Sus scrofa: one gene and its partners. The protein of the gene in region 2 interacts with the protein of the main gene of each other region in a biochemical or structural test. Links are inferred from orthologs where the notes say so. Each region holds a gene or a part of one and is shown on either strand. Other genes may lie near its edges.

What was found.
Region 1: of the proteins of MAP3K11 (region 2) and MAP2K7, one has a biochemical effect on the other in vitro, tested with the Homo sapiens proteins (2 studies listed by BioGRID). The link is inferred for Sus scrofa from reciprocal best matches to the Homo sapiens genes MAP3K11 and MAP2K7.
Region 3: the proteins of MAP3K11 (region 2) and MAPK8IP1 form a complex in vitro, tested with the Homo sapiens proteins (2 studies listed by BioGRID). The link is inferred for Sus scrofa from reciprocal best matches to the Homo sapiens genes MAP3K11 and MAPK8IP1.

Annotation. Positions count from the first base shown.
Region 1 is NC_010444.4:71,298,499-71,301,829, reverse strand, and holds the end of MAP2K7 (dual specificity mitogen-activated protein kinase kinase 7), read left to right. Parts: coding exon 1-332; intron 333-453; coding exon 454-596; intron 597-1,093; coding exon 1,094-1,139; intron 1,140-1,241; coding exon 1,242-1,376; 3' UTR 1,377-2,820; downstream 2,821-3,331. UniProt on the Homo sapiens protein: Dual specificity protein kinase which acts as an essential component of the MAP kinase signal transduction pathway. Essential component of the stress-activated protein kinase/c-Jun N-terminal kinase (SAP/JNK) signaling pathway.
Region 2 is NC_010444.4:6,638,870-6,642,872, reverse strand, and holds the start of MAP3K11 (mitogen-activated protein kinase kinase kinase 11), read right to left. Parts: upstream 2,813-4,003; 5' UTR 2,623-2,812; intron 1,898-2,622; 5' UTR 1,342-1,897; coding exon 600-1,341; intron 1-599. Other genes in the region: PCNX3 (pecanex-like protein 3), read left to right, coding at 3,459-3,611, 3,973-4,003. UniProt on the Homo sapiens protein: Activates the JUN N-terminal pathway. Required for serum-stimulated cell proliferation and for mitogen and cytokine activation of MAPK14 (p38), MAPK3 (ERK) and MAPK8 (JNK1) through phosphorylation and activation of MAP2K4/MKK4 and MAP2K7/MKK7.
Region 3 is NC_010444.4:16,581,958-16,586,170, reverse strand, and holds the start of MAPK8IP1 (C-Jun-amino-terminal kinase-interacting protein 1), read left to right. Parts: upstream 1-1,407; 5' UTR 1,408-1,639; coding exon 1,640-1,740; intron 1,741-4,213. UniProt on the Homo sapiens protein: The JNK-interacting protein (JIP) group of scaffold proteins selectively mediates JNK signaling by aggregating specific components of the MAPK cascade to form a functional JNK signaling module. Required for JNK activation in response to excitotoxic stress.

The DNA of each region.
Region 1 (3,331 bases), about 65 Mb from region 2:
AGCACGGTGTGATCCATCGCGATGTCAAGCCCTCCAACATCCTGCTGGATGAGCGGGGCCAGATCAAGCTCTGCGATTTCGGCATCAGTGGCCGCCTCGTCGACTCCAAGGCCAAAACGCGGAGCGCAGGCTGCGCAGCCTACATGGCAGTAAGTGGGGCCCAGCAGGGCCCGGTGGGCGGGTGTGAAGGGTGGGCGATGCACCTTCCCCAGCCATGGGTCCATCCACCCTCTCCCACCTCCCACCGGCAGCCCGAGCGCATCGACCCCCCGGACCCTACCAAGCCTGACTACGACATTCGGGCAGACGTGTGGAGCTTGGGCATCTCCTTGGTGAGTGGGGGCCTCTGCCTTTGGAGGCCAGGGCTAGGGTCTTCTTGGAGGTTGGACGCAGGCGGCAGGGATGGCAGAACCCTGTCCTCGGCCGGACCAACCCTGCCTATCTCTCTCTCAGGTGGAGCTGGCGACAGGACAGTTTCCCTACAAGAACTGCAAGACGGATTTTGAGGTTCTTACTAAGGTTCTGCAGGAAGAACCCCCACTCCTGCCCGGTCACATGGGCTTCTCGGGGGACTTTCAGTCCTTTGTCAAAGACTGGTGAGGAAGCAGGGCGAGGTCAGAGGTGGCCCTGTGCTCACTGCTGCTGGGCAGGGGAGGGGGGGCCCCGGATGGGGTTGGGGGCTGCAGGCAGGAGCTGGCGCCTGAGCCCTGGGAGCTGGGAGCTGGGTTTGGACTCAGCCTAAGTGGACACCGGGCCCTGTGGGTATGTGGCAGAGTGGCCTTTGCGCTCCACTGTGGGGGGCTATGAACAAGCAGAGGGTGCCCCAGGGTTCAGGGTCTGAGTGTCCTACACTGGTGAGCTGAACTGTGGGAGCAGGACATCCTTGTTGGAGCCTTCCTTGGGGGTGCCCAGCCGCTTCTCCTGCGGGGGTCTCAGTGCAGGCAGGAGCCTGTCACAGTCGGAGGGCCCGAGGGCAGACCCCAGGATCCTCTGTCAGCACAGGGCCTGGGGGCAGTGGCGGCTCCTTGCCACAGATCTTGCAGACCCAGACCCGACTCCCAACTCTCACTTCCTTTTCTCTCTCTCTTTCTAGCCTTACTAAAGATCACAGGAAGAGACCAAAGTATAATAAGCTACTTGTGAGTATCTGGGGCCCCTCTCAGCCCCCATCCTGAGCCCCTCACCCCACTGCCTGCCCAGCTGGACACCCTTGTCCTAAGCCCCCACCTTGGGCCCCACAGGAACACAGTTTCATCAGGCGCTACGAGGCGCTGGAGGTGGACGTGGCATCCTGGTTCAAGGATGTCATGGCGAAGACCGAGTCGCCTCGGACAAGCGGGGTCCTGAGCCAGCACCACCTGCCCTTCTTCAGGTAGCCACGTGGCGGTGGCCAGCCTGCCGGGGGCCAAGGGTGCGGCCACAGGCCCCCCTTCCCCACTGGGTTACCCAGCTGCCTGCCAGGGGAGCCCTGGGACCTGGACAGCCGCTGAGGGCTGAGGACAGAAAGTAGGGGGCGCCGACCCACCCCCGACTCCCTGCCCACCAGCCATGGACAGACGGGCCCGTCAGGCCCCAGCACTTCCCGTCCCGGGGTCAGCCGGCCGTGCGCGTCCCCCCCCCCCGCCCCCCGAACCCCGACAGACACTGTGAACGGAAGACAGCAGGCCGCGAGCAGACTCGCTATTTATTCAGTTGTAACCTCTGGGCTGGGGCGGCCCCAGGGGCCAGGAGAGAGCCGCCCGTCTGCACCCTCCAGCACTCACTGCGCTGTCCCCACTGCCGCCCCATGCACGTGCACCCCGGCCCCACCTTCCTCTCTGTCACCTCCCTCTACCTCTCTGGCTTTCCCCATCTCCCTCCCTGGCTCTGCTTCTCTCCTGGCCCAGGCCCGGGCTCTGCCACCCCTGGCAAGACCCTGGGTCCGCTTAGGTGTCTGGCAAGCAATGAGTCTGTTGGCTGGCGTTCCTGTGGACGCTGCGACTGCAGCCGGGCCCGGGCTGGTCTCTTTCTCTCTCTCTTTTTGATCTCAGGGGGTCCTTTTTGGAGTTTATTGTATTTTATTGTACTTGGTGGGGTGTTTGGGGGGTGGGGGGCGGAGAAGAGCTTGTTCTTAATGGGGTTTGTCGGTACCTTCAGAAACTTTTACCAAAGTCATGTTTAGCTGCTTGTGGTGGAAGCCCCCCCCAACCCCGACTGCCTGTCGGGGCTCGGGGGCTGGGGCTGGGGGCCGAGCCATGGGGGCCTGGGCCACCACCCAGGAGAGACTAGTCCCAAAGGTGGGCTCCGGGGGGGCTCCTCCCTTGGGGCTGGAGACTGGCCACAGCTTGGTGGGGTGAATCGAAGACCTCAGGGGTGGAGAGAGCCCAAAGGGCCTCGGCCACACAGGGTGGCCTTCAGGGAAGGCAGGCGCGGGGCGTGGTGGAGGGCAACAGGTGCTGGTGCGGCAGGGAGGCGGCACAGGGAATGGGTGACAGGAGTGGGGTCCGTGGGGCCCAGGGAGGCAGGGATTGAGGGTGCAGGGAGTGGATGTATGGGTTTGAGAATGTGTGACAGGGACAGAGGTGGGGCAGGCCGAGGGCTGGGCGTGTGGAGGTGGTCACGCCCTTGCAGTGGCCCTGAGCGCCCCTCGACTCACCCAGAGCTGGCCAGTCCCCAGCCCACCCTGAGGCCCCGGGCCCCAGCATCCCCGGGGTTCTGCGCAGCAGCCAGAGCGAGCGGGAGGGGGTGTGTTTCCTTTTTGTTGGTGATGCATGCAAATCAAGTGGACAACGAAACAAAATAGCAAAAAAAAAAAAAAAAAAAAAAAAAAACCATAAAAACCAACCAACGCCAAAGGTGAGGAACCTCGCTGGTTGTAGCTGAAGCAATCTAGACTAGGCATCACTGGACCCTCCATTTGTCCCATGACTCGAGTTACTACTAGGATAGTCACAAATGCCGCATGTTTAAAAAGTACTCGCAGTCATCTTCTCTCTGCCCCTGCGCCGCCCCCCCCCCCGGGGGGGGTGGCCACCTTCTCTCTCTCTCCAGTCCCTTTTGTGAGGGGAGGGGGCAGGGTGAGGGGCCAACAGGCCTGGCCCCTGCTCTCCCTTGCCAGGCCAGGCCCAGCCCCGGGGGCCTTTGTGGATGGCTGGGAAGGTCGCGTGGCTGGCCCCAGGGCCTGCGCAGGCCCAAGGCCAGCTGCCTGGGTTTATTTTTTATTTAACTTGATTTTCTGTTTTGTGTGTGTCCACCCGTCCCCCCGCCCCCACCCTTCAGTGTTAAGTGGGAGCCTCTCCCCACCTGCCTCTCCCATGTCCCACCCCTACCCCAAGTCACCAGTCACCAGCCA
Region 2 (4,003 bases):
TAGAGATGGTGCAGCCAGGGGTAGGAGTGGGGCCAGAATTCCATCCCTGGCCCCAGTTTTGGCCACAGTGGGGGGGCTTGCCCCTTTGAGATTTCTCTTCTGGAGAAGCTGCCCCTTTACTGTGGGTGCATGTGAACCTCAAGAGAGTTCCCTGAAGATGAGGGGTGCCAGCGCCCAGGACTCGCCTCCCCTGAGCTAGTGGCCATGTATGGTAGGCAGGTTGCTTATGGTCCGCCCGAGAGACCGTGGTGTGTGGAAGTTCCCAGGCCAGGGATCGAACCCGGGCCACGGCTGTCGCCAGAGACATAGCCCTGGCAATGCCAGATCCCTGATCCACTGAGCCGCCAAGAACTCCGAGATTCCCATTTTTTAACTTGGCAGCTGTGAGCTGGGGTTAGGGACTCCTGCTGGGGCTCTGTTGGGTGCCTGGGGTTCCTGCTTTGGCACTGATGTGAGCCTACGGGTCCCCCCAGGGACCTGAGACAATCCTGGGCAGGAGCTGCCACTTCTAGGAAACCCCTGGGTCGGCTCAGCTAAGAGCCGGCAGCAGCTGTCTGCTTGGGCCATGCCACCCTCCGGCCACGCTCCCCCGAACTCACTGTTGTTGGACTTGAGGTCTCGGTGGATGACAGGCACCAGGGCCTCGCAGTGCAGGTAGTGCATTCCACGGGCAATCTGCACAGCCCAGTTGACGAGCACATGGGGGGGCACGCGCCGCCCAGCCAGGGCACGGCTCAGGGGCCCACCGGCAGCATACTCCATCACCAGGCACAGGTTGGGCTCCTCCAGGCACACGGCCTTGAGGGCAATGATGTTGGGGTGTGCCAGCATGGCGAAAAGCCGAGCCTCCTGTCGCACGCTCTCAGCTGTCACGCTGATGTCCTCATCGGGGTCCTGGCGAGCTGCCTTCACGGCCACAAGCTCACCCCGCCAGCTGCCACGGTAGACCTTGCCGAAGCCACCGATGCCAATCACCTCCTCCAGCCGCAGCTCCTGGAAGCTGGCCATCTCGCAGGGGGGGGGACCACCGCCCCGAGACACATAGTTGGACGGAAAGATGCCCACCTGGCCACCTACCTGGCCCGCCCACCAGCCCTCGTCACCCGAGATAGCTGCATCCCGGGACAGCACCTCCACTCGGTCGCCCTTCCGCAGGGCCAACTCGTCCTGCCCATTGGGCTCGTAGTCAAACAGGGCTGTCCACACAGGGTTGGCATAAGCTGCAGCCTTCGGGGACCCCTCTGGCCAACCTCCGCTGCCACTGCCCCCGCTGCCCCCATTGCCACTGCTGTTCCATGACCCCAGGGGGCTCTTGAGGAAGAGGTTCTTCAAGGGCTCCATAGCTGGGAGCTGGCACTGGCGGGTGTGGGGGACCTTCCCTGGGTGCCCCGGTCCCCACCCTTGCTGACGGCCGAGGCCCTAGTCCCGGAACCTGGGCATCCGAGCCCTGGCCCTCAGCCCCAGACCCACGCCTCTCTGGGGAGCCAGGAGTGTCGCCTCCCGGCCCACCGCATCTCGGGCTTCCGGAGGAGGGCGACCTAGGGAAGCAGTGTGGTCAGGCTGGGGGGGTGGACCCCCAGGGCCTCCGATGTCTCACCATGGCCGGCACAGAGGGGCCCGGGCGTCCCTCAGTCCAGAGCAGTCCTGGGAGCCGAGCTCCAGCACCCGCCAAGTGAAAGGTGGGGCCAGCGAGGGGCAGTGCCTGGACTCCCGTTGGGTCTCTGCGCAGGGGGGTGGCTGGAGTGTCTCTAGGTTGAGCTGCCTCTTCCTGGCTCAGCTCTCGCGACCCGATGGCTCCAACCCCGTTCCCTTCTTCCTCCTCCCTTTGTACTTTGGCCCCGGGGGCGGGAGGCAGAGGTGGAGGGTGGAGTTTCACTTTTTTCCGCTGTTCTCTCTCCTGCAGGAAACAGCATCAGATGACGCGGGCGGGTAGCACCGCTCCCCTCCCAGAGGCTGCAGGGCGATTTGGTCTGGGAGTTACCGGGTAGGCGGGCAATGAGAGGCAGAAGGAGAGGAAGTGTAGCCCGTAGCCCCCACCTCCCGTGACAACAGGTTTAAGGTCGAGGTTGGTTTCTGCTAAGGAGGGACCGTCCCCGCCCTCTACGTCTGCATCTGTAAAACTGGGGGAAAGATCCTGGCTTGGAAGAGGGGCAAACCCGAGTGTGGTCTTGGCTCCGAAGTTGCAGGGCCGTGTGACCCTTTCTCTGCGCTTCATTCTCTTCATGTCTGAAACTGGGGCCAGGAGCTCCGCTTTGCAGAGCTGGCAGTGGGGGTAGGCAAGAATGGAGGACGAAACTGGCTGCACTTGGAGCTCTTGGAACGCGTTGTCTAAGATTTACTGCTTCCCTTCACCTGGGAAACAATTCATGCCTCTTTCCCAAGAAGGGATGGAAACCTGAGACTGTGCTCCTGAAATTTGTCCAGTGATGGCACTTGGAATAGCTAAATCGCTCTCGCAACCGCGCGACGGACCCCCTTGCCTTGAGCCTGTCACTTTAAGAAAAACGACACTATCCTATTTCGACTAGTCCTGCCTGTTCTCTCTACACTCTGAGTTTGAGCTCTGACCCGGAAGTAGAGGCCGCTCGTGACGTTTGACGTCCAGCGCTAAAAAGGGCGCACCTAGAGGGGCTTGCTCCAGTAGCGCACAACTGTGGCTTTAGCCCCCAGGGGTGTCCACGCCTCCATCCTTTTCCTCGCCTCTAGTAACTCTTCCCTCGCGTTCCGCCCAGTGATCGCGGCTAGGTTGGCATCGCTTAGGTGTGCGCATGCGCTCAAGGACTTGTGCCTTTTGGATCGTCCCTTCCTCAGCTGCGCAAGCCCAGCGGGCTCTCCCGCTTCTTATCGGTCCACCACCTCCCTGCGCTTGCGCATTCGAGCCGAAAGGTTTTCCTTTTCCGGGTCCCAACTGGTCTCGTCGGGCGCATGCGCCACTGCAGGTTGGCGGCTCGCGGCTCCTTCTTCCGGCCTCCCCCTTGGGTCGGCTCCCGCAGAAGCGGGGCGACCGCGGAGCCCAAAGCGAGTGACCTGTGACCCCGGAAGTGGACCTCAGGGTCCCGGGGCTCTCCCCGGGCCGGAACCGTGGGAGCCGTCGTCTGCACCCCCGGAGCACCCACCCCACGCCCACCTCTGGATGCCGCCGACCGGTGCCCGGCCCGTGCCCTGCGCCTGCCCGCCGGTCCGGCCCTTAGGAGCAGTTCTGGGCCGGGGGTGGGGGCCTGGACCCCACCCCTGATGCGGCTCCACCCCGGCTCTTGGGTCTCGCACCACTGACTGCCCTGGCCGGCCCCGCCCCCTGCCCGCACCCTCGCCCCACCGACCCCTCTCCCCCGCTGGGGGAGGCCATGGCGTGAGCGCGAGGTTGGGCCCCGGGGCCCTCGGGCGCCAGGCGGGGCATGGGCCGGGGGCCGCCCCCATGAGGGTCCCGGGAGGGGGGCGCGCGCAGCAGCGGCGGGGCCATGGGGTCGCAGGTGTTGCAGATCCTGCGCCAGGGGGTGTGGGCCTCGCTCACCGGCGGTTGGTTCTTCGACCCACACCAGAGCACCTTCTCCAACTGCTTCCATCTCTATGTCTGGATCTTCCTGCTCACCTTTCCTTTCTTGCTGTATATGGTGAGATGCTGCGGCCACCTGTAACTCGTGCCGGGGAAAGGGAGGGCAGATGTCACGAAGGGGTGCAACCTGGCAGGGATTCTGGGCTGTGGCTGGGGCGCTGGGGTGTGGGAAGAGGATTCACTGCGGAGTCTGGAGTGTGTGGAAGAGAGGCCAGAATTTCCCTGGCCTGGGTGACCTTGAATCTCACTTAATCTCATTCCAGTTATGCTGGAGATAGGGCTGCCTCGCAGGGTCTTTGTATTAGCAGCCGGCAGGCGTGATGGAGTTTAATGAATTTGTGTGTCCTAGTCCTGACTGTGGTGGTAGGTGGTAGGGACAGGGCTGTGTGAAGAGGGACCTGACTTGCTGCCGCCCCCAGGTCCTGCCCCCCAGCTTGATGGTGGCTGGTG
Region 3 (4,213 bases), about 9.9 Mb from region 2:
TAGCAAGTGGTTACTGTTTAGGTCTGATGAAAGAAGCCTGAGCCCAGATAGAAAAGGGGCAGGGAGAAAGGCATCCAAGCCCTTCTCGAGGCTTCTTCAAGGCTCTAGGTATTGGGATGTTCTCAGAGCTGGAGCTCGGGGGTTGTTTACTGCAGAGCAGGTGCCTGCAGTCCGTTCTGGGTGCTACAATGCAGGGTAAGGGTGGCAGAAACAGTGGGCAGTCTACATTTGCAAATAGGATTCCACAAGCTGTGGAACAGTTTGCTCTGCCCCTTCAGGACAGGATCTCCGAGTACTCCCAGCGGGGCCAGACAAGCCAGGTTTTGGCCAGAGGTTCTATGAGCCACCAAGGCTGGGGGCCTAGCTGTGGCCAGCAGTGGAGTATCCAGAAGTCCACGCTCCATGAAAAACTCACAGGTTTAGTCCTCTGAGGGGAGAGACGACCAGGAGGAACCACAGCCCAAACTTAGCAGGGGCAGAGGTCCTGGAGGGAGCAGAAAAGCCACCCAAAAAATCCCAAGAAGTCAATCATGGAGACAGGAGGGAAGGTCCTAAGTCTTAGAATGTGAGAAGCCTGCTACGGGGTGTCAGGGTGCACAAGAGGGGGTGCTCTGCAGGAAGTGCAGTTGAGGTGCTAAGGGAGAAGAGGGAGAAATCAGGAAAATCCTGATATGAGGGAGGAGAAGTTGAGAGGCAGAAGCCAAAAGAAAGGGTTCAGTTCACCCCTAGAGGTGTTTGGGGGCTGAAGGGGGACTTGAGTCAATCTTTGGAGAGGAGACCCTCTGGGGAGAGTCTTTGGGAGGAAGAGTCCCCTCAAGTTCAGGGGACAGGTTTGGGTGAGAGCTGGATCCCAGCAGGAGGTGAGCATTCCCAGTCTCCAGTGACAGCATATTTGTATTACACTTCATCCTCAGGACCGAAAGAGGGACCATCATTGTCCCCATTTCACAAATGAGAAAAACCAGAGCTTAGGACCACTGTTAATAATGCAAGGCCACACCGTCTATTCACTTGGAGAGCCAGGCTGTGACTTCACACCACCTGACTCCAAGTCTGCTCTAGGAGCCAGCTCCCAACACCCACTTGCCTCTCTCTGCCGTCCTCCGCGACCCTCTTCCTTGACTACCTTCTGTGTCTGCAGCCAGGGGGTCAACTAGGACCCTAGGCACCAATGTCCCGCCATTAGTTACCCAATACTTGTGCCCTATGCCCACCCCAAGAGGCAGAGCCCATGCAGGCAAAGGGCTTCGCCGGAAGGGGAAGTAGACCAAGGCGTTAGTGGAGGATTTAGGGCGGGGCTGGGCCGGGCCAAGCCTGGGGGCCGCGACTTCAGCACCTTGGAGAGCACCGGAGGGCGGGGCTAGCGGGAGGGGGCGGGCAGGGGGCGGGGCGCAGGGACCCCGGCGAGAGCCCGGGGGCGCGCGCGCGCGCGCGCCAGCCCAGAGAGCGGAACGCGGTCCCGAGCCGCGCCCTGCCCTGAGCAGGTGCGCCTACCGCGCCGGCTCCAGCCTCAGCCCCGCGGCGGCGGCCTCTCGTCGCGGTTCCGCTTCCTTCCCCGCCGCCGCCGCCGCCGCCGCCGCCGCCTTCGCCCCCGCCTCCGCGCCGCGCTCCGCCCGGATGGCCAGGGCTGTGCGGGAGAATGGCGGAGCGAGAGAGCGGCGGCCTGGGCGGGGGGGCCGCGTCCCCGCCTGCCGCCTCCCCGTTCCTGGGGCTGCACATCGCGTCGCCGCCCAATTTCAGGTGAGAATCCCCGGCCGCCGCGTCCCGCCCTTCAGCCCGGATTGATCTGCCCCGGTTCTCCCCTCTCCCCCAACACACACACCAGACCCCAGAACGAGAGGGCGGCGTGGGGATGGGGTCTCTATCCGAGACGGATCCCCCAGAAGCCCCCTCAGCCCAAGTCCACACTGATGGCCGCTGCATGACCATGGTGCGGCTCCTTCCGCCATTCCGTGTCCTAGGCAAGGAGAGTCTGAGCTGGAATTGGAGGAGGGGGCGCGGAGGCCTCCTTCTCCCCGACTTTGGGGCTGCGGCGGGGCCTGGGATCTGCGTTGAGATCCCCGAGGAGGCAGGCTGCTTGGGGCTTTGCCTCTGCCCAGTCAGAAGCCTTCTGAATCGAGGTGGGAGCAGGCAGGGGTGCCCCCGTGGATCCCAGTTTCTTGGGTCGACCGACAACCTTGGTGCTGGAAGGAGGGAGTCGTAGGCCCTTCCTCCAGCCCTTCCGGGCCCAAGGGGCGCATCTCCCAGGCCTGGCATGGCTAGGACCCTCTGTGGATTTGGACAAGCACTGACCTAGTCAGATGTGTGCACGTGCGGAAGCCTTAGCCTCAACCGAGAGATCTTAGGCGCGGCTGTGGGAGAGGGGGTCTGGTTTGGAGCGCCTAGGAGTAGCCGGGATATTGAGGGGGAGGGGTCCCTGCTGGGGTAAGTACCCAGGACCCTGATCTGAGCCCCTCAGCACCCCTCTCCCTGCCCCCTATCTGGTGTTAGGCACCTGGGAGGTGGCTTTCAGAGAAGTGGCAGTGGGTGTTGGGGAGGGGGAGGGATGAACGTCCCTCTTCCCTCCCCCACCCCACCCGTCCTGGCCGGTTGGAGAAGAGGATGTTACAGCTCCAGAGCCTCTGAGAAAGAGGCCTAGACATTCCCCATTGTTTCTCCACCTAATGAGCTGGTGCCTTCCCCTCTCCTGGGGCCCCCACCCCAGCCAGGCCCCAGCTGGGCTCTGGCGCCAACGCCTCTTCTGACCAAGAGGTTGCTGGCTCCCTGGCCCTCAGGTGGGCAGGGACCCCTGGGGATCTCTAATGGCATCATCAGGACTAGAAATCTCCCCCAAGGCCCTGAGCTGAATGCAGAAAGACCAGAGGGAGGGGACCAGATGGAGGAGGCCAAGCCTGAAGCCTCGAGGGCTGGGGGCCTTGTGGTTAGTGCCTCAGAGTAACAGGGCTGACGTCTGAGCCTGACACCACCTGACACGTCACGTGCCGACTCCACGCAAACGCTGGCCTTCCTTCCAGGAGGCCCCTCTGCAGTGGGAGACCATGGCAGCCAGTTTAGATGGACCTGGGTTCAAATCCTAGCCCCACCATCTTCTCGCTGTATGGCCTGGGCAGCTTTTTGTCTTTTCTCAGTCCCATCTGTTACGTGAGCTAATTAATATTGATTCCTTAATGTGCATCAAGTCGGTGCTCAACAAGTGTCCGCCCTCCAAACCAGCGGATGTTTAGATGGCTCCTTACTGCTCAAAGCATCGTCTCTGTGCTGGCTCACAACCACCCCTGGCCTGGCCCATTGTGTGGAAGAGGAGACTGAGGCAGGAAGGCAGATGGCTTGCCTGAGAACCCCCAGAGAGTCAGGGTCTGAGGCTGCACTAGAACCCGGGTCTGCCTGTTCAGTCCACTCTACCTCCAGGCCCTGCCTCTGGCCCAGGGGACAGTTTGGCCTCCCCCTGGCTGCTTCCCCATCCCCAAGTGACAGCACTTTCTGTCCCACCCCTGGAATCCTTAGTGAGAAATGCTGACCAGGCAGGCCTGCCAGTGAGCCTGTCCAGCCCGGGACCCAGTGGGCGAGGGTGGCAGTAGACCAAGGCTGAGGCGAGGGCAGGCCCTGCAGGACGCCGTGGCCTGGCCGTGGACATGTGGCCCACACGTGGGAATAATAAGAGCAATGTCTTCAGCCTCTCAGGGCCCACCCTGCCTGCTCCAGCAGCCCCCGCTGCCCTTTCTGTGTCCCGCCTCTCATAGCTCTTAGCCCAGCAGGCTTCTCCCCCCACCAGGGGTTGGGCGGGGGGGACTGCTCTCCTGCGGCACTGGCCCGGGCTCAAGTCCTGCCTCGGCCTTCTTAGCTGCATGCCCCAGGAGTGGGTGCTTCACCCCCTGAGCCTATGTTTCTTCTTCTCCATGAGGCCGACTTTGGCCCCTGCTCAGGGTGGTCCTAAGACGTGGATGAGACAACACAGGTTGACTGTTTCCAGGGCCAGCAGAGCTGCGTTCACTCAGGACTGTTTATTATTATTATTACGCGTGTGCACATGTGCGTGCCCTGGGCACCACTGTCAACTTCCAGAAGGCACAAGGAGTCAACAGCTAAGCTTTGGTTTGCACCAAGTAGGTGCTCAGTATCGCCTTCATGGTTTGTCATCTAATGCAGGATAGAACTGGGTGCTGCGCTCCCAGACTACGGAGAACAGTGCCCCCTGCCAGAGAGTCACGCTGTA